5 linked regions of the Oryctolagus cuniculus genome follow. Each later gene encodes a partner of the first gene's protein in a complex. Links are inferred from orthologs where the notes say so. Each region holds a gene or a part of one and is shown in the gene's direction. Other genes may lie near its edges.

Region 1 (3,513 bases):
CGGCCTGGGTGTCGGGGTCACAGCCGGGGACCAGGTGCTTCCTTGCCCCGAGCAGAGTTCGTCAGTGGGGACTCAGAGCAGCCCTCCCCTCTCCCCACGTCCTGGACGGACGTGTTATACACCGGAACCGGGATTTCTCACGGGTCAGAGAACTTGTTCTGACTTAGTTTAGGAGTGTCTGTAGCGAGGTTGAACAGCCGTGTAGGGGCAGGTGTGCAGCGGGTTGAGGATGCCCGTGCCACAGCACCTGCGTTTGAGGCCTGGCGCTGGTTTCCTGCTGATGGGGACCCTGGGAGGCGGCGGTGTGGCTCAGAGAGCTGGCTTCCTGCCACTCACACAGGCAGCCTGGATTGGGTTCCTGGCTCCTGGCTTCGGCTGCCCTCGCTGTTGCAGTTCAGTGGGGAGCGAACCAGCGGATGGGAGTTTTCTCTGTGTCTCTGCCTCCCGGATAAATGAATAAAAGCTTAAAAGAGAAAAGAAAAGCTAAATCCATTAGACATGGCGTCTCCTGTGCAGTGCTCCTGGTGAACCACAGGCAGGGCAGGCAGCACTGGAGTGGGTTTTTTTTTTTTTTGCAGGGGGAGGGAGGAGATCTTCCACCCCCTGTTCACTCTCCAAATGGCATCAACAGCCAGCTCTGGGCCAGGCTGAAGCCAGGAGCCTGGAACTCTATCCGGTCTCCCACATTACTTGGGCCATCACCTGCTGCCTCCCAGGCGTGTTAGCACGGAGCTGGGCGGGACTCAGACCTGTGCCTCCGGTGTGGGATGTCGCATCGCAGGCAGCGGCTTGGCGCCCTGTGCCACCGTGGCGGCCCCGGAGCTCACGTGTGCACCTGCTTTCCGAAGGAAAGGGCCTGCTGAGCTTGGCAGTGCGCCCCCAGGGGAGGGGGGCGTGTATGTCCCAGGGTCTGCTCTGTCTGAGGGGCAGCAGAGGTGGTGAATGAATGTGCTTTCTGTTTTTTCCTCTCTCAACTCTCCTGACCACTCCTCCTGCCTCCTCTGACCCACCCAGCCTGCTGGGAGATCTTGCGTCCAGGTAATGTCCCTCGCTTTGGCCTGGTTGATTACCTTCCTGCAGGGCCCAGATACCCCATGGAGCAGGGGCATGGGGCGCTGGGTTGGAAGGACCCTTAGTGGCCGTTTCAGATGGCCAAGGTCAGGTGCGTGCTGATGCCAGAATGCTCTCGAGAAAGACACAGTATCTACTCAGGAAGCTGCGCCCTGCTAGTCCTCAGCTCTCGCCAGCAGCAAATCACTGAATTCCCGAGCTACTGGATTACAGGGTATTTAGAAGTGCAGGCTTTGTGACTTCCCGACTTGCCCGCTGGTGAGCCAAGGAGAGGCCCTTCGGGGAGCCACATTTGTGCATGAGATGGCCTGGGTGCCAGCCGGATAGACCCACCCTCCTAAGATGCACGCCCTGGCTTCTCCCTGGCCAAGCATCCCTGGCCAAGCATCCCAAGAATACTTAGTCCAGTGTGAGAGGAAAGTCATTCAGCTCTGTTCGGTTGAGTTCAGCAGAGGTTTCCGGACCCCAGTGCTGTGCCAGTGAGTGGCGGGGCTGGCGGGATCCACTCTCAGCTCAGCCTACGCCCCTGACTGCTCCACTCCCCAGCCGGACCCTGGAGGTGCCCATGGGTCAGGGTCGGGATGGAGATCCCAGGGTGAAGGGTGTTGCTCCAAGATGGCTTCAGGCCGCTGCTGTCACACAGTGCTGAAGGGTGTGGCCCTGGAGCCAGAATCCTCTGTCACTCCCCATGAATAGCTGTGTAGCCTTGGGCAGGATGCTTTCATCTCCTTGTGCCTCAGTTTCTCCACCCATACATTGGGGGCAATGATACAGTTGTTGTGAGGATTCAACGAGTTGCTTTATGGAAAGTGCCCAGGAGAGTCCTTGGCCGAGTCAGTGCCGTGGAAATCTCTGCCCTCCCTGTCCTGCCCCGCAGGGACCCGGCAGAGAAGGTCAAGTCCAAAGCCCTGGCCGGTGGCTGATGCCTCCCATTCACCACAAACCTGTGTGGACAGCCTTGGGCCCTGGGTCCCAGCTGACCCGACACTGGTAAAATGTACCTCTAGCCGTGCCTCCTGCAGGTGGCAGGTATCCAGGGTCAGCTGGGCACTGTTTTAGGTGCTGGGAGGGGTGGGCACACTCCCAGCCAGGAGTTGGGAAGGGCCGAGGTGGCTGTGGCCGTCTGAGATGGGCGGGGCTCAGGGCACCTGCAGGGCCCCCAGTGGCCATGGTGTGCACTGGCCTGGGCAGTCGTGCCCCCGTGTCCGGGGGCCCTGATCCAGGAAGGGGAAGTTCTGTTTCCATCAGGGACAGGGGAGGAGGTCTCCTACATTCCTCCCCTAGAAAGATCTCCATCTTGGAGAGTGCAGAGTGAGGGCCAGAGAGCCCTCCGCAGCCCTCCCGCTGAGGCCTGGGCTCAGCAGGCCTGGCTCTCTGTTTCAGTGACGTGGCCGTGGAGCTGCCCTTCACCCTGATGCACCCCAAGCCCAAAGAGGAGCCCCCACATCGGGAAGGTGAGCAGGACTGGGAGGGTCCTTGCCGTGAGGGTTTCAGGGGGCCCACTCCCTCCTCCCCTGCCTGCCGCACCTCTCCCTCCAGGTCAGCCTCAGCCTGGTGCACCCTCTCCCCAGCTCCCCAGGATCTCCCGTGGGTCCCACAACTCCCGTCTGCCGTGGGCCCCAGTGGGACACAGCTGGCCCTCACTGTCTTCTCCGTGGGGGAGCAAGGCCTGGGCTGGGTCCTGTGCGCACTAGGGGGAAGGGCTGCGTGGACGAGAGCCCCCCCACCCCCAGCATACCATTCCTGGAGGCGCCCGATTGTTCATTGATATTAACTCCATTTTGAAACACAGCTCAAGTTCAGCGAGGTCAGAGTTAGTGGGAGGTTCGCATGCTAGGCAGTGCACTGAAGTGAGCTGGAGCCAGTACCCCGAGGTTGCCCTGCTCCTGTGGCCACTCAGGGCCCTTCCATGGCCTTAGATGATTGGCAGGCCCCCTTTTCCACGTTCCCCTTCTTCCCTGACCCTCCCCTACTGAGCCTGGCAGTCCCGGGGTGGAGGGCTGTGCCCACTCACCTCCATGTCTCCCCACGCACTAACCCCTGGGCGCCCCCTGCCCTGTGTTCAGTTCCAGAGAACGAGACGCCGGTAGATACCAATCTCATAGAACTTGACACAAAGTAAGCGGAACCCTGCCTGCTGGGGTCTGGGGGGTTGCGGGGCAGGGCGGGGCCGGGGGGGGGCGGAGAGGTCATTTGCATATACGCTTATTAACCCTGAGGAGCAGGTGGTCTAACCCCATCAGCTGAGAGCCGCCTCTGCTCGCCTCCTCAGCAACCCGCTTGCCTGCATGTGACTTGAAGGACCCTCGTGCCTGTTCCTCTTCCTCCTGCCTTGGTGGGGTTTGTCTTCCTTCCTTGTCCTTGCACGTCCGTCCACCCGTCCGTCCGTCCGTCCGTCCACAGCGCCTGCGCCTGCTCGTCTCACACAGGGCTGGCTCGGGG
Region 2 (3,513 bases), on another chromosome or scaffold:
ATTAAAGGCGGAGTTTTAAGAGAAAAGTATGTATAGTTTTATCATAGTTTTATAAGATCTGGAGACTAATGACCAGTTATAATGTTTCATATAGGCTTTTATAATGACAAATAATTCTACCCAAGAACATTTTGTGACTTTTCACTTTATAGTAGGGGTTCTCAGTCTTTGTACTGTTGACATTGGGAGCTGAATCATAGTTGCATGCAGGTTGTTGTGTGCAAGTAGGATATTTAGCAGCTTCATTGGCTTCTAACCAGTAGCATCAGTTAAACCAGCTGTGACAGCCAAAAATGTCTCCAGACATTTCTAAATGTCACCTGGGAGGAAAGTTACCTTAATTGATAACCACTGATGTGCAGAGTACTAGTGGAATCACCATTGGGTGACTCCTTAGATTCACCTAAATTCTGATCCCTGGTTTTTCTTTTCTTTTCTTTTCTTTGTTGTTGTTGTTGTTATAATAGTAGTAGTACTCCTCTAGACAGAAGAAAGGATTCTATATTCACTTTCTTAATTTTCACAGTTACTGAATGTGCACTGCACACTAAATTTACACTGTAGTATGATAGCCACTAGGCACATGGAGCTATTTAAATGTAATTTAATTACATTAAATAAAGTTTAAAATTTCTTCACTCTCTCTTGCCATGTTTGAATTGCCTAAAAACCACATGTATTAGTGGCTACCATATTGGACACCACAGAGAACATTTTTATCATGCAGAAAGCTTTAATTTTTTTTTAATAACTTGAAAAGCAGAGTTGTGCAGAGGCAGAGAGAGAAAGGACTTCCTTCTGCTGGTTTATTCCCCAAATGGCTGCAATGGCAGGAGCTAGACCTCTATGAAGCCAGGAGCCAGAAGCTTCTTCCGGGTCTCCCAAGAGGGTGCAGAGGCCCAAAGACTTGGGCCATCTTCTTCTGCTTTCCCAGACCATAGCAGAGAGCTGGATCAGAGGTAGAACACTGGAACTTGAACCGGCACCCATACGGGATGGTGGCACTGCAGGCAGCATCTTTACTCATTATTCCGCAGTGCTGACCCCATAAAGCTTTATTGAAAAGCACTTGATTAAATTCTTTCCAGATTATTTTTGTATATTTCCTATTAACTGTACATGGATAAGTATCTGATAATAGGGGACTTTATTTAAAATTTCTCATATAAAATATTATGTAATAATTAACTTCCCCTATTTCTAAATTCTGTACTTTATTGGAGTAATCACTTAATTGGACTGGATTAATTATTCCTGAGTTGTTGTTGTTTTTTTAACATATCCTTTATTTATTTAAGAGGTAGAGTTACAGACAGAGGGAGAGACAGAGAGAAAGGTCTTCCATCTGCTATTTCACTTCCAAAGTGGCCACAGTTGCCAGAGCTGAGCCAGTCTGACTCCAGGAGCTTCTTTTAGGTCTCCCACGCAGATGCAGGGGCCTGCACTGGAGCCATCTTCCACTGCTTTCCCAGGCCATAAGCAGAGAGCTGGATTGGGAGAGGAGCATCTGAGACTTGAACCAGCGCCCATATGGGAAGCTGGCACCACAGGCGGAGGCTTGGGTTACTATGCCCAACAACGTCCCCTGAGTTTTTTTGGGTTAAAGATTTATCTGTTTGTTTGAAAGGCAGTTAGAGGAATTTAGGGGGAGAGAAGGAGGGAGAAGTGGCAGGGAGAGAGATTTTCAATTAGCTGGTTCATTCCCCAAATGGCCGCAACAACCATGGCTGGGCCTCACTGAAGCATTGGGGAACTGGATGGGCAGTAGTGCAGCTGAGACTTGAACCAGCACCCATTTGGCATGCAAGCATCACAGGTGGTGGCCCAACCCACTATGCCACAATGCCAGCTCCCTTATCGAACACTTTCAGCAACTGATTCATACCAGTATCTGGGACTGTTAAGTGAAACAGTTTGTTTTTAATTGCTTGGATATTTTTCAGTTCTGTTTTCAACAATACACCTATATTTAATTTCAATTATTTATTTCTTTAAGGTCTCTTTTATTTTCTGGGATCCATTGTTAACTTTAGCCAGGACCCAGATGTACACTTTAAGTATATTCAGGCAGCTTGCAAGACTGGGCAAATCAAAGAAGTAGAAAGAATCTGCAGAGAAAGCAACTGCTATGATCCTGAGCGAGTCAAAAATTTTCTCAAGGTAAGTAACTGTTTTTGAGTAATGCATTTTCTGGTTGGATTGAAGAGCAGCAGTTCTGTAGGAGTTCAGTTACAGTTTTAAAATATACTTTTTCTCCATGAGATTTTTTAGCCTGCTCAAATTGTGTGTGGGATTATTTCTTCTAAACTTAATACTCTGTGGTTTCCTTTGAAATAGAGAAGGAAATTGGTAAGTAATACTTACAAATGACCATCTGGTTAAAAGAAGAAAAATATAGCACCAGTTCAAAGAAACTTTCCAAAGTTATTTATCTTTGTTGTCATTTTAGAATATCATTTAGGCTTTCTTTTGAATATTAAGTGATCCTCTATCATTTTGAGGATCTTTTCTTGTAGGCATAGGGGTCTGTTGGCTAAAGGATATGGGTTTATCTCTGTCATCAAATCTACCTAACTGTAGAAGCTAAAGTATTAATCCTATATAATTTATAAAGTAAAGGTGAAACCAGATAAGCTCAACTTTGTGAATCATGAATTGTTACAGAGAATTAAGCACTGCCTGTGTTGGGTGAGTGCAGAGCGATGGTTTAATGATTGTTAACTCTAAAATATACCTGTGGGAAGTTAATTTTGTTTAATGTTTAACTTTTAGCTTTATGTTCATACTTACCAGTTACTATGTGAAGAAAATAAAGCTTTAAACTTGGCAACTGTCTGTAAAAGACCAGGGAAACTAATATAACACTCCAGTCACCACCCTCCCCCTGCCATATATATGTAGATAACACACTCTCCGTCCCCCCTCCCCCTCCCTCTCTTTCTCCCTCTCTCTCTCTCTCTCTCTATATATATATATATAAAGTGATATATATATATATATAATGTATATATACATACATGATTCCAGAGACTGTATGTAAAGTTCCAATTTGTTTTTGCTTTTTGCCTTCTGGAATAATTGATTGGAAAAAAAAAAACAAATTTTTTTTTTTTTAAAGATTTATTTATTTATTTGAACGAGTTACAGAGAAGGAGAGGCAGAGGGAAAGAGGAATATTGATCTTCTTTCCACTGATTCACTCCCCAAATGGCTGCAGCGGCCCAGGGCTGGGCCAGGACAAAGCCAGGAACCAGGAACTTCTTCCAGGTCTCCTACGTGGGTGCAGGAGCCCACGGAGTTGGGCCGTCCTCCACTGCTTTCCCAGGCATGTTAGCAGGGAGTTGGATTGGAAGCGGAACAGCCAGGACTTGAGCTGGTGCCCATATGGCATGCTGGCACTGCAGGTGGTGGCTTTACCTGCTATGCCACAGCACTGACCCCCAAAATGTTTTCTTTATGATCTTTTTTATTTGAGAGAAAGAGAGGCAACCCATCTGCTTCTTCACTCTCGAA
Region 3 (4,142 bases), on another chromosome or scaffold:
GTGAGCAGTGGTAGTGGGCTCCGTTCAGCACCACCACGTCCCGGGTCAAGGACACGCGGGGCCCAGTCCCAGGCCTGCTCACTTCCTGTGTCTCCCGGACAGCGAGTCCAGGGTACCCTGGCGGGGACCTGGGGGCAGCTTGTGGGACTCGAGGCGCGCCCTCCCTCCCAAGGCTGAGCTCGGCCCCTTCAGTGCTGCCCACTCCCCGAGGCCCCCGGAGAGCAGCCCTGCCGGGGGAGCACCGCTCTCGGCTTCTCCCACCCCACAGCTGACGACGGGGCACAGAGAAGCTCAAACACTCCCCAGGCCAGGGCCGCAGGGCCAAGATGCAAACCACCTCTGCCAGCCTCTGGAGTCTGCGCCGGCGTTTAGCAAAAGGGCCGTTTGTGCTTCCTTTGAAGGCTACGTTTTCAAGCATTCGTTGCTGTGTGCTAAGACTCCCTGATGAGGCCGCCGGGGTCCAGGTGAAAGGCAAGCCCAAGGCAGGCGGAAGACAACAAGATGGCTGTCAGCCCCTGGCCCCCTCCCCTGCAGCCAGACTGACCCCAGCACAGCCGGTGCAGCGTCTGGGGCTGTGACCCCTGGGCGCTTCCTCCTGCCCTCACCCCTGCAGCGGGCGTCTCCCAGGGTCCGCTGTGGGGAGGGCGGCTGTGCCTCTGCGCAGCTCACGGCCGGGGAGCAGGCGCACACCCGGCCCCCTCGGGCCAGCGGCTGGCAGGACACGGAGCCCGAGGGCCGCGGCAGAGCCAGCACCACCTCCAAGTCAGGCTGCCCCTGCCAACCCCGCGGGACCCGGCCCTGAGGGTGCCCCATCCCCACGCCTGCTTGCTTCTGCTTCCCCTCCCCCACCCCACCCCGGCTTAGTGGCACTGGAGCCCCCTAGGCGCTCAGCTTCTGCCCCTCCTCCACCGTGGGCACCAGGAGAGGGGCGGCCGCCAGCTGCGTAGCGCCCCATGCGCGCCAGCGGGAAGCCGTCTCCTTCCTCCGCCCTCGCTGAGCTGGAGACAGGAGGGCACAGCTCCCTTTCCAGTGCTAGAAGTTGGAGAGACCCGGGAAGGGAGGCTGTGCACCCAGGGGGAGGGCGCTGGGCAGACTCAGCGCCCCAAGGCCCAGCTGCAGCCCCCACGCCTGACCTGGGTTCCCGGGGTCGCTCTCGAGGGCCCTGACGGCCTCTAAGAGTGCGCGGCGGGGGGCGGGGTGGGGGAGGCGGCGACCACCAGCCTGCGCTGGGGCGGGGCGGGGACCGCGGCTGGGGCCGCCTCTCGCCCCCGCCCACGCTGCTAGGCGCGGCCGCGCGGCGCCGGCTCGGTGGAAGCGCGCAGAGCCGAGAGGGCGCGGGCGCGGCGGGGCGCGAGGGAGGAGAGCGGGAGCGGGAGAGGCGAGCGCGCCGGGCAGCCGTGCGTGCGCTCTGCTCGGCGCCACCTGCTTGTCCGCGAAGCCCGAGCCCAGGACCAGCGCAGAGCCCAGAGGGAGCGTGGAGAATCGTGGGGTCTAGAGCCGGGGGCGCAGCCCGGAGCCCGGGTGGGCGTGAGCCGAGTTCCTCGGGGCGGCGCTTCCTGGCCAGACGGCACCCCGCTAGCCGGCCTCCCGCGCCCCCCGCCAGGGCTCCTTCTCATCCCTCCCCGCCTGGACTTCCAGCCCAGGGGCGCGGGACAGAGCCGCGGACCCGGCGCGCACCATGCGTCTCAACAGCTCCGCGCCGAGCGCTGCGGGCGCCGACCTCTTCCCGCGTCCGCAGGTGGGGCTGGACGCCGCGCTCCTGGCCCCGGGCTCGGGCAACCGCTCGGCCAACGCGTCGGAGCTCGCGCTGGCGGCGCCGGGCAGCCCCCTGGACGTGAACACCGACATCTACTCCAAGGTGCTGGTGACGGTCGTGTACCTGGCGCTGTTCGCGGTGGGCACGGTGGGCAACGCCGTGACGGCGTTCACGCTGGCGCGCCGGAAGCCGCTGCAGAGCCTGCAGAGCACCGTGCACTACCACCTGGGCAGCCTGGCGCTGTCCGACCTGCTCATCCTGCTGCTGGCCATGCCCGTGGAGCTGTACAACTTCATCTGGGTGCACCACCCCTGGGCCTTCGGCGACGCCGGCTGCCGGGGCTACTACTTCCTGCGCGATGCCTGCACCTACGCCACGGCCCTCAACGTGGCCAGCCTCAGCGTCGAGCGCTACCTGGCCATGTGCCACCCCTTCAAGGCCAAGACCCTCATGTCCCGCAGCCGCACCAAGAAGTTCATCAGCGCCATCTGGCTGGCCTCGGCGCTGCTGGCCGTGCCCATGCTGTTCACCATGGGCCAGCAGAACCGGGGCGCTGACCACCAGCACCCCGGCAGCCTGGTGTGCACCCCCATCGTGGACACCGCCACCGTCAAGGTCGTCATCCAGGTGAGCAGCCTGTGCGGGGGGGGGGGGGCTCCAGGCGGGGGTCTCTCCGGGGGAAGCCTGGACTCTGCCCCCAGGGGTCTTCCAGCCGCGAGGGGGCTGCGGAAGTCCACTCCCTGGAGGCTGGCGAGGACGGGCCGCCTGGGGAGCAGCCCGAGCCCTCTCCCCACCTCGCCCCGCGGAGCAGCCGGGCCTCGGCCCCGCTCCCCATCCCCACCCCATCAGCTCTACCGAGGGTGGCTGGACTTGGTCAGTGTCCGCCCTGGACTCATGGGTGGGCCTCGGGTGGCCCTGAAGCAGTCCCTGGGGCCATATAAGGCCGTGGTCTCGTCCAGCAGCTTCTCAAAGGCCTTGTGCCCTGGCAGGGGCTCTGCAGCCCCCCCCCAGCAGCGGCACCCCCAGGCCGGCTTCCTCCGCGTCCCCTGGCTGCCCTGCCCAGCCCAGACTTGAGTCAGAGCTGAGCCTGACATCTTCTTGGGTTGGGTCTTACTCCAGCCTCAGTTTTCCTATCTGTAAAATGGGATGATGGCAGCATTCACCCTAGGTGGTAGTGCTCACGAGAACTCGTGGGACGTGTCTGCAGGTGCCTGGCACACAGAAACACCTGCTGGTGCTGCCGTCGCTGCCGACGGCAGCGGTGATGTCCCTGTTGGGACGATGGTAAGGCACCTGGATGTGTGTGGGGGGGTGGGGTCTTGCAGCCTGGAGGTGGGGGCTCACTGGCCTCCGTACAGCGCGGCAGGTCTCAGTGTGTGGCCCCGTGTGGGGCTGGGCAGTTCAGAGGGCAGGCAGCCTCTCAGAGGCCCAGCTCTGGCCCCGGTGCCACTAGGAACTGGGTGGCGGAGGACACGTGGGGTGCCCATGGCTTCCGGCGGGATGTCCCGTCTTTCCTTCGGCCGGCCCACAGGGGGCGCTGCCTGCATGAGCCCCTGCAGAGCTCAGGTGTCCCGGGCGCTGTGTGGCTTAGGGCCCGGGTGGTCAGTGGCCTGAAGGAGTGCAGCAGGTGGCAGAGAGCAGAGGCCCGGGTGGGGGAGCGTCTGGCTCACGTCCGACTGAGGCGGGGGCTGGCCCGGCACGGCCACCAGCTCTGCCCTCAGGGGCTCGGCGGGTGCCGCCCAGGCTCCAGCCCAGCCCTTGGACGCTCACTGACCCTGTATGGGCCCCGTTTACCTGGTCACTGAGTGCCTGAGCAGGAGCCAGGCTTGGAGGCCTGGAGGACTGTCCACGCATGTGCCCACGTGTACACGTGAGTGACGGGGTCTTCTGTCCACACCTCACCCTTTCCTTCAACCACGCCAAGGTGTCTGTGCTCCCAAGGCCACAGCTGGACCTCGACTACCCACTACCCCTACCCGTGCCCTGGGTGCCGTTGTCAGCCCCCGGGCAGCCTGGGGCCTCCAGCTCACTGCCCCAAGGCCGGCGGGGCCATTTGCACGCGGGGAGGTTCCCGGAGAGCAGGGGTGCTAGGCTGGGCGTCCCCGCCCGAGTCTGCCACCAGCCGCCAGCGGTCTTTGCTGTTCCGGCCCTGAGCGGCCCGGCCGCCCTGCCTCTCCCTTTTGTTCTGAGAGGCGCCCCCGCTGGGTGTGGCCCCTCACTGCAGGCAGGGTGAGCCCCGATCCGTGCAGGTGGAGCCGGCGAGCAGCTGGAGGGCCCGGCATGTCCCCCCGGACGGCTCCTGCCCCGGGGTCCTCGCCAGGGCTGAGTGCAGTTGGCTCGGGCGACGGCTGCCGCATGCCTTCCCCTGTGGGAAGCAGGAGCCGTG
Region 4 (3,513 bases), on another chromosome or scaffold:
CCAAGGCCATGGCCGAGATCCTGCGCTTCTTCAACTGGACCTACGTGTCCACCGTGGCCTCGGAGGGTGACTACGGCGAGACGGGCATCGAGGCGTTCGAGCAGGAGGCGCGCGTGCGCAACATCTGCATCGCCACGGCGGAGAAGGTGGGGCGCTCCAACATCCGCAAGTCCTACGACAGCGTGGTCCGCGAGCTGCTGCTGAAGCCCAGCGCGCGCGTCGTGGTGCTCTTCATGCGCAGCGACGACTCGCGCGAGCTCATCGCCGCCGCCAGCCGCGCCAACGCCTCCTTCACCTGGGTGGCCAGCGACGGCTGGGGCGCGCAGGAGAGCATCGTCAAGGGCAGCGAGCACGTGGCCGACGGCGCCATCACGCTGGAGCTGGCCTCGCAGCCCGTGCGCCAGTTCGACCGCTACTTCCAGAGCCTCACGCCCTACAACAACCACCGCAACCCCTGGTTCCGGGACTTCTGGGAGCAGAAGTTCCAGTGCAGCCTGCAGAGCAAGCGCAGCCACAGGCGCACCTGCGACAAGCACCTGGCCATCGACAGCAGCAACTACGAGCAGGAATCCAAGATCATGTTCGTGGTGAACGCGGTGTACGCCATGGCCCACGCGCTGCACAAGATGCAGCGCACGCTGTGTCCCAACACCACCAAGCTGTGCGACGCCATGAAGATCCTGGACGGCAAGAAGCTGTACAAGGATTACCTCCTGAAAATCAACTTCACAGGTAAGGCCGGGGCTTCCGCGCGTGGGTGGTGTGACAGGTGGACCCAGACACAGGGGTCAGGCTGTCGAGCAGAATTTCCCAGACGCACTAGGAGGTTTCCCTGATGGTCTTGCTCTTTTTGTTTTGTTTTGTTTTCAAACCATCACGGCTTTTGCACTACAGGACACGGAAAGGGCCCCCCAGGCTGAGCTAATGGCTCCACCGTGGTGGCTGCTAGGTGGGGAGCATGCCACATTCGCTCTTCTTCCTGTTGTCAGCCACACAGTGGGATGTAAATGATGTGGGCATTTAATCATCTTCAGCGGGAACTGACCATTCTGCAAGAAGCGTGAACTTCCGGGCCTTTCTTGTGGGTTATTCGAGCAAAAGGATCTCATAACTTTCACAGTGAGTGAAAGAAAAAGAATTTTTTTTTTCTGAGCCTAATTAGAGGCCAAAACGGAAACAATAACCTACACCATGGCGACCTCCAGGCCCTGGAGCTTATGTCTTCTGCTATATAAAACACTTCGCTGCAGTTTTAAGAACTGTGGGTTTTCTCCAATTATGTTATAAAATGAAAATGTTTTTCTGTGAGCCTGAGTATAAGCAAATTGGAGACGGATTTGATCAGTGGAGAACATGCACAGGTGTATTCAAAGTGATTATTGCTGCCTCTTCATTGTGGTCTAAAACTCTGTCTAAATACAGTACTTCATTTTAATGCATCTCTAACACACACACACACACACACACACACACACACACAGTATCTTCAGGTTTGCATTGTCTACTAAGGTACATGTGATATCAGTTCATTAAGGTCCTGGTTCTGGAGAGTCTGGATTAATCCTCCAAAATAAAGTGGTAAGTAGCACTATTGGGCACATTAAGATTTAGATTCTGAGAATGTTACAATAAAAATTATTTCATTTGTGTAAACTGCTGGTCATGCTCCATGCCACCGGGACCTCATTCTAGTCTGAGTCTGTTTCAAGTTGTCATGGAAGACCTGAGAGTTTGTGAGCCTACGTGGCAGTTCTCACCTCCTCTTATAGGTGATCCCACGGGCACCACTTGTTCCACAGAATCACCAGTGGTACTGAGGTAGGGTCCCATGGCCATCGACTCCTGTTCCAGAATTCTCACCCCCTGAAAATAAGCACAGAAACTACCAGCATGCATTTTCGTTTATCATTTTTTTCTTCTTTGTCTCTAGAGAGGACCAAAGGTAGTAGAAATCAATTATGTTCCCTCCTATTTATCTGATGGGTACCACCTTTTCCATTAGAATGATGACTGAAAATGGTAAAGATTAAACTCTTTTTCTGCTCATATTCCTAAAGGTGTGCTTCATGTAAAAAAAAATGAAAAGAGCAGTTTCTTAGCATTCCTCTCAGAATCCCAGATCAGTTCCCTGCTGACATCTCCAGAAAATAAGAATGGACTCTAGAGTCCATTAAAAAAGGCTATCTTTACTCTAAAAATAAATGAACTCTCAGGCATCCATAAATAGCATCTATAGTGCAATTAATTCTGCAAGATGAATAAAACACTTCAGCCTGTACCCTCCCCTCCCCTGTCAGACCACCCTTGGAGTTATCATTTATCTTTATTCACCACATGCATTAATTAACTTTGTTATTCTGATTCATTCCTCACTCCTTAGCATGCAGATATCCAAACACATCCACTCATCAACAGCCAAACAGTTCCAGAGAGCCCCTACGAGGTGTTTATACAACCAAAACCTTTGCCCATGTCTGACTGCTTGAGTTTTAAAAGGCAAGGAAAAGTGAGGAAATAATGCTGCGATCCAGATAAATAAACAAAAGCCTCTTCTTTGTGTCTGTCCTTTGCAATTCCTGGCTTCAATTCCACAGCTCAGTTTGTCTACACAGCCCCGACTACAGGGTACAATTTTAACTTTCTCAATTTGTCAGGTATTACCAGTTCTTCTGCATTTCTGAAATGAGCAGGATGGCAAAAAGCAGGTTTAAGCCACGGAAAAGAGAGGGTATTTAGACCAGCCACAAGGTGCATATGCTTGGTAATGAGGATTAGACAAGAAAATGCATTATTATGAGAGGATACTAAGAAGCAAATTAGCAAACTAGTACATCAGAAATGAAACTAAGAACAAATTATAAGAATCTAAAACTTGGCTAAGAGGAACACACACAGAATAGAACAGAATATAGATTATGGGATGCTGGTTTGGATTTACAGTAACCTGTATGTGACTGACTACATTTATGTCTCTGTTTTAACTTGGAAATAGAGCAAAGATTATCAGTATGCATTCCATGTTACTGCTTTAAGACTGAAAAGTATTAAGGATTTTCTTCCTAGTTAGCTATTGCAAGCAGGTTTGTTTTATTTTTTCTGAAATAGTATCTCTGTTTTTCGAACTTGAATATTCAGGCAATGGACTAGACACAAGGGTCTACACTTAGCAAACACTAAACAATCAGCTTAGTTGGGTTGAAAAAATTCTCTTCCAGCCAGCTGCTTATATCAAATGGATTTACTCCAAGATTATTCTCTAAAGGGAAAGCGGTAGCCAATTCCCTAATACCTCTAGTCCTTACAGGATGAAAGAGCAAGGCCTTCTGAGAATTTAAATTGTGTCCATTAAAAAGATTTCCCTGGTGTTTTGTGAATTCCTACCAGCTAGTTCCAGCATTCGCCAATAGGAGTCTTGTTTGAAGCTAACCCAGTTTGAATACTCATTTTGTACGATTTTTCAGAACTGTGCTTTGTGAAAATTATTTCTAAGCGGTGAGCTCTTCTGGCGTTGGA
Region 5 (3,513 bases), on another chromosome or scaffold:
AGCAGGAAGCTGGAATCTGGAGTAGAGCTGAAGCTCAAACCCAGGGCACTCTGATATGGGATGTTAGTGTCCTAGGTTAGATGATGAAAGCAAGCAATTGAAGAATCTGAAACAGTGAAATAACAATGAAATCTCATTTTGCTTTTACAGTAATAGAGATAGCTTTGCTGAAGCTCCTGATTAGTCTTAAAGATAATGTAGTAAGTTGGCTTGGTGGTATGCTCAAGAATTAGTGGAAGGGCAGGCTCTGTGGTATAGCCGTAAGAATGCTGCCCCCAGTGCTGGCATCCCATATGGGTGCTGGTTTGAGTCCTGGCTGCTCCACTTCCAATCCTGCTCCCTGCTATGGCCTAGGAAAGCAGTAGAAGATGACCCAAGTCCTTCAGCCCCTGCACCTGCATGGGAGACCCAGAGGAGGCTCCTGGCTCCTGGCTTCAGATTGGCCTAGCTCTGACCATTGTGGCCATTTGGGGAGTAAACCAGTGGATAGAAGACCCATCTCTTTCTATCTCTCTTTCTCTCTCTCTGCCTCTGTCTCTTTGTAACTCTGCCTTTCAAAATAATTAATAAATCTTTTAAAAAAAGAATTAGTAAAAATATTTTGGCAAAGTAATGGTGTATTAAGCATTGTATATATTTCTAAAAATTTTAGAAATGGTGTTTTTGAAGAAGAGACCATATATTTTTGCCATTCTCCCAGAAAAGAGAAGGATTTTTTTTTTTTTTTTTTTTAAGATTTTGTTTATTTGAAAGGTAGAATAATAGACAGAGGGAAAGACAGAGAGAAAGGTCCTCCATCCGCTGGCTCATCCCCAAATGGCTGTAGCAACCGGCGCTGGGATCATCTAAAGACAGGAGCTAGGAGCCTACTCCAGGTCTTCCACGCCAGCACAGGGACCCAAGCACCTAGGCCATCCTCCACTGCCTTCCCAGGCCACAGCAGAGAGCCAGATTGAAAGAGGAGCAGCCAACACATGAACTGGCACCCATGTGGGATGTTGGCACTGCAGGCAGAGGCCCAGTCCACTGAGCCACAGCACTGGCCCCCTGAGGATTGGGTTTTTCAATTTCTTAATTAAGTATGATGCTGTATTAGTTACATAGTATGAAATAAGAAGACAAATGCATTTTGTTTTTGTTATTAAGGGGTCATGACAGTTCTAAGAAAGCAATCAGGAGTCTGGTTTAATCAGTGGAAGTAGGGCAGACAAGTGTACTATTCAGTTGTTTGCTTCTAATTTATTATATGTATCATTCTGATGTTTACAATCATGTTAGCCAGATAGATGGTTTTAACATGTCTATAAAAATAATAATAAATTTTTGAGTTATTTCTTCCTTTGGAGAAATATTTTTGTTTGTGCTTCGAGAAGAAAGAACATAACCATACCTGTTATAAAAAGGAGAGATAAGGGGCATTGTGGCATAGGAGGTTTAGGCAATGCTAGCATCCCCTGTGGGTGTCAATTCATGTACTGGCTGCTCAATTTCTGATCCAGCTCCCTGCTAACTGCTTGGAAAAGTAGCAAAAGATTGCCGAAGTGGTTGGGCCCCTGTACCCCTGTGGGAGACCTGGAAGAAGCTCCTGGGCTTCATCCTGGTCCAGATCTGGCTGTTGTGGCCAATTGGAAGATCTGTCTCTCCCTCTCTCTCTGCAACTCTGCCTTTCAAATAAATAATTTTTTAAAGGAGAGGTAAGTGGATTAAGGGACAAAATTATCTGAAAATTGTTGTTTTCTAACTCCATTTTTCTAAAAGTAAAGATTTCTCTTCCTCTCTAGAATGAAGTCAAATGGAATAATAGGAAAATTCTCGATCTAGTTGTAAGAAAGATTACTAGAATACCAAGTAGTTGTAGTATCTTAACAACCACAGGTTTATTTTCCCTTGAGAAATAATACCTGATGAGTTTTAATAAAAGTTTATGAGTTAAGTCTTAAAGCATAATTGAACAGCTGGCATTGTGGTATAACAGGTTAAGCCACTGCCTGCTATACTGACATCCCATTTGGGTGCCAGTTTGAGTACCGGCTGCTCCACTTCTGATCCAACTCCCTGCTAATATGCCTGGGGAAGCAGCAGAAGATGTCTCAAGTGCTTGGGTCCCCACACTCATGTGGGAGACCTGGATGAAGCTCCTCACTCCTGGTTTCAGCCTGGCCCAACCCTGGCTGTTAGAGCCATTTGGGGAGCAAACCAGCAGAAAATCAATCAATCAATCTCTCTCTCTCTCTCTCTCTCTCTCTCTATCTGTAATTCTGCCTTTCAAATATAATAAAATAAATCTTTTAAAAAAATTGAAAGCTAATTATAATCTTCTGACTTAATACTTATATATTTTCTTAACTATAAAAGCTTTTCTAGTTTGGTGGCTTGTTTTAGGATCCCTTGTTCATGGTTTGCTTTTAACTTTAACTCTGAAATGTGTTCTTTGTTTTGTCCTCAGTAACCATAGTCTCTTGTTGCTTCAGGTATGAAAGTATCATCGCCACTCTGTGTGAGAACTTAGACTCCCTGGATGAACCAGATGCTCGAGCGGCTATGATCTGGATTGTAGGAGAATATGCTGAGAGAATTGACAATGCAGATGAGTTACTGGAGAGCTTCCTGGAGGGTTTTCATGATGAGAGCACCCAGGTAAACTTTCAGCCATCCTGTGTCCTGTGTCTGTGGGAAGACTTCAGAAAAAGTAAAGATTTGAGTGTGTATGTATTTATGTATATGCTCAGGTTGAGCATCCTGTACCCCAAATGCTTAGAACCAAGAAATATTTCATATTTTGAGTTTTTTCAAACTTTGAAGTATTTCCATGTACATAATGAGATAAATATCTTGGGGATGAAATCCAAGTCTAAACAGAAAATTCATTTATGTCTCATATACCTTATACACATAGCCTAAAGGTATTTTTATAGAATGTTTTTAGCATGCATGCATTTTGACTGCAACCCATCACTTTTTTTTTTGACAGGCAGAGTGGACAGTAGAGAGAGAGACAGAGAGAAAGGTCTTCCTTTTGCTGTTGGTTCACCCTCCAATGGCCGCCGCGGCCGGCACGCTGCGGCCAGCACACCACGCTGATCCGAAGGCAGGAGCCAGGTGCTCCTCCTGGTCTCCCATGGGGTGCAGGGCCCAAGCACTTGGGCCATCCTCCACTGCCTTCCCAGAGAGCTGGCCTGGAAGAGGGGCAACCGGGACAGAATCTGGCGCCCCGACCAAGACTAGAACCTGGTGTGCCGGCGCCGCTAGGTGGAGGATTAGCCTATTGAGCCGCGGCGCCGGCCCTGCAACCCATCACTTTAAGTTGGGTGTGGAATTTTCCACTTGTGTTGTCATGTCTGTGCTTTAAAAGTTTTGGATTTTGGAGCATTTCAGATTTTTGATTTTCAGATTAGGGTTTCTCCACCTGTAGCATGTTGATTTTTCATCCAAAAGGGATGACCCTTTTCATTTGTATACTGATTTCTAGTGTAATAAATTTAGACCAGTGGTTCTGAAACTTTAATGAGGATT

Evidence for each region.
Region 2: the proteins of ARRB1 (region 1) and CLTC are in contact, whole or in part, in a crystal structure (PDB 3GC3), measured with the Bos taurus proteins. The link is inferred for Oryctolagus cuniculus from reciprocal best matches to the Homo sapiens genes ARRB1 and CLTC. Residues at the interface, in NP_776668.1 of Bos taurus: His30, Ile31, Asp32, Leu33, Val34, Glu35, Pro36, Pro96, Thr98, Arg99, Tyr173, Pro175, Lys355, Thr374, Asn375, Leu376, Ile377, Glu378, Leu379, Asp380; in NP_776448.1 of Bos taurus: His12, Leu13, Gln14, Gln16, Asn17, Leu18, Gly19, Val50, Asn56, Asp57, Pro58, Ser59, Asn60, Ile62, Arg63, Arg64, Pro65, Ile66, Ser67, Ala68, Lys78, Ile80, Leu82, Lys83, Ala84, Thr87, Gln89, Phe91, Asn92, Ile93.
Region 3: the proteins of ARRB1 (region 1) and NTSR1 are in contact, whole or in part, in a cryo-EM structure (PDB 6UP7), measured with the Homo sapiens proteins. The link is inferred for Oryctolagus cuniculus from reciprocal best matches to the Homo sapiens genes ARRB1 and NTSR1. Residues at the interface, in NP_004032.2 of Homo sapiens: Tyr63, Arg65, Asp67, Leu68, Val70, Leu71, Gly72, Leu73, Thr74, Phe75, Arg76, Lys77, Asn245, Thr246, Ala247, Gln248, Tyr249, Lys250, Lys284, Arg285, Gly286; in NP_002522.2 of Homo sapiens: Ser93, Leu94, Gln95, Ser96, Leu97, Gln98, Thr100, Val101, Arg166, Ile170, Pro173, Lys177, Phe286, Ser287, Met288, Ala289, Ile290, Ala297, Leu298, Gly301, Ser368, Asn370.
Region 4: the proteins of ARRB1 (region 1) and GRM3 are in contact, whole or in part, in a cryo-EM structure (PDB 9II2), measured with the Homo sapiens proteins. The link is inferred for Oryctolagus cuniculus from reciprocal best matches to the Homo sapiens genes ARRB1 and GRM3. Residues at the interface, in NP_004032.2 of Homo sapiens: Gly5, Thr6, Arg7, Val8, Phe9, Lys10, Lys11, Ala12, Ser13, Pro14, Tyr21, Arg25, Arg65, Glu66, Asp67, Leu71, Gly72, Leu73, Thr74, Phe75, Arg76, Lys77, Arg103, Leu104, Lys107, Pro133, Arg236, Phe244, Asn245, Thr246; in NP_000831.2 of Homo sapiens: Pro605, Lys608, Ala609, Ile669, Phe670, Asp671, Gly672, Val673, Lys674, Asn675, Ala677, Gln678, Arg679, Lys681, Phe682, Ser684, Cys761, Pro762, Glu763, Phe765, Val834, Val835, Thr836, His837, Gln855, Ser856, Ser857, Ala858, Ser859, Thr860.
Region 5: the proteins of ARRB1 (region 1) and AP2B1 are in contact, whole or in part, in a crystal structure (PDB 2IV8), measured with the Homo sapiens proteins. The link is inferred for Oryctolagus cuniculus from reciprocal best matches to the Homo sapiens genes ARRB1 and AP2B1. Residues at the interface, in NP_004032.2 of Homo sapiens: Asp384, Asp385, Val387, Phe388, Glu389, Phe391, Ala392, Arg393, Arg395, Leu396; in NP_001273.1 of Homo sapiens: Arg834, Gln835, Phe837, Leu838, Trp841, Lys842, Asn846, Glu849, Ile876, Ala877, Arg879, Val881, Glu882, Gln884, Tyr888, Glu902, Arg904.

Annotation. Positions count from the first base shown.
Region 1 is NC_091432.1:66,411,133-66,414,645, reverse strand, and holds part of ARRB1 (beta-arrestin-1), read left to right. Parts: intron 1-1,014; coding exon 1,015-1,038; intron 1,039-2,454; coding exon 2,455-2,525; intron 2,526-3,137; coding exon 3,138-3,189; intron 3,190-3,343; coding exon of another isoform or gene 3,344-3,365; exon of another isoform or gene 3,366-3,513. UniProt on the Homo sapiens protein: Functions in regulating agonist-mediated G-protein coupled receptor (GPCR) signaling by mediating both receptor desensitization and resensitization processes.
Region 2 is NC_091448.1:34,959,958-34,963,470, forward strand, and holds part of CLTC (clathrin heavy chain 1), read left to right. Parts: intron 1-1,996; coding exon 1,997-2,160; intron 2,161-3,513. UniProt on the Homo sapiens protein: Clathrin is the major protein of the polyhedral coat of coated pits and vesicles. Two different adapter protein complexes link the clathrin lattice either to the plasma membrane or to the trans-Golgi network.
Region 3 is NC_091442.1:835,762-839,903, reverse strand, and holds the start of NTSR1 (neurotensin receptor type 1), read left to right. Parts: upstream 1-1,336; 5' UTR 1,337-1,678; coding exon 1,679-2,383; intron 2,384-4,142. UniProt on the Homo sapiens protein: G-protein coupled receptor for the tridecapeptide neurotensin (NTS). Signaling is effected via G proteins that activate a phosphatidylinositol-calcium second messenger system.
Region 4 is NC_091447.1:48,455,534-48,459,046, reverse strand, and holds part of GRM3 (metabotropic glutamate receptor 3), read left to right. Parts: coding exon 1-732; intron 733-3,513. UniProt on the Homo sapiens protein: G-protein coupled receptor for glutamate. Ligand binding causes a conformation change that triggers signaling via guanine nucleotide-binding proteins (G proteins) and modulates the activity of down-stream effectors.
Region 5 is NC_091448.1:38,975,169-38,978,681, reverse strand, and holds part of AP2B1 (AP-2 complex subunit beta), read left to right. Parts: intron 1-2,471; coding exon 2,472-2,637; intron 2,638-3,513. UniProt on the Homo sapiens protein: Component of the adaptor protein complex 2 (AP-2). Adaptor protein complexes function in protein transport via transport vesicles in different membrane traffic pathways.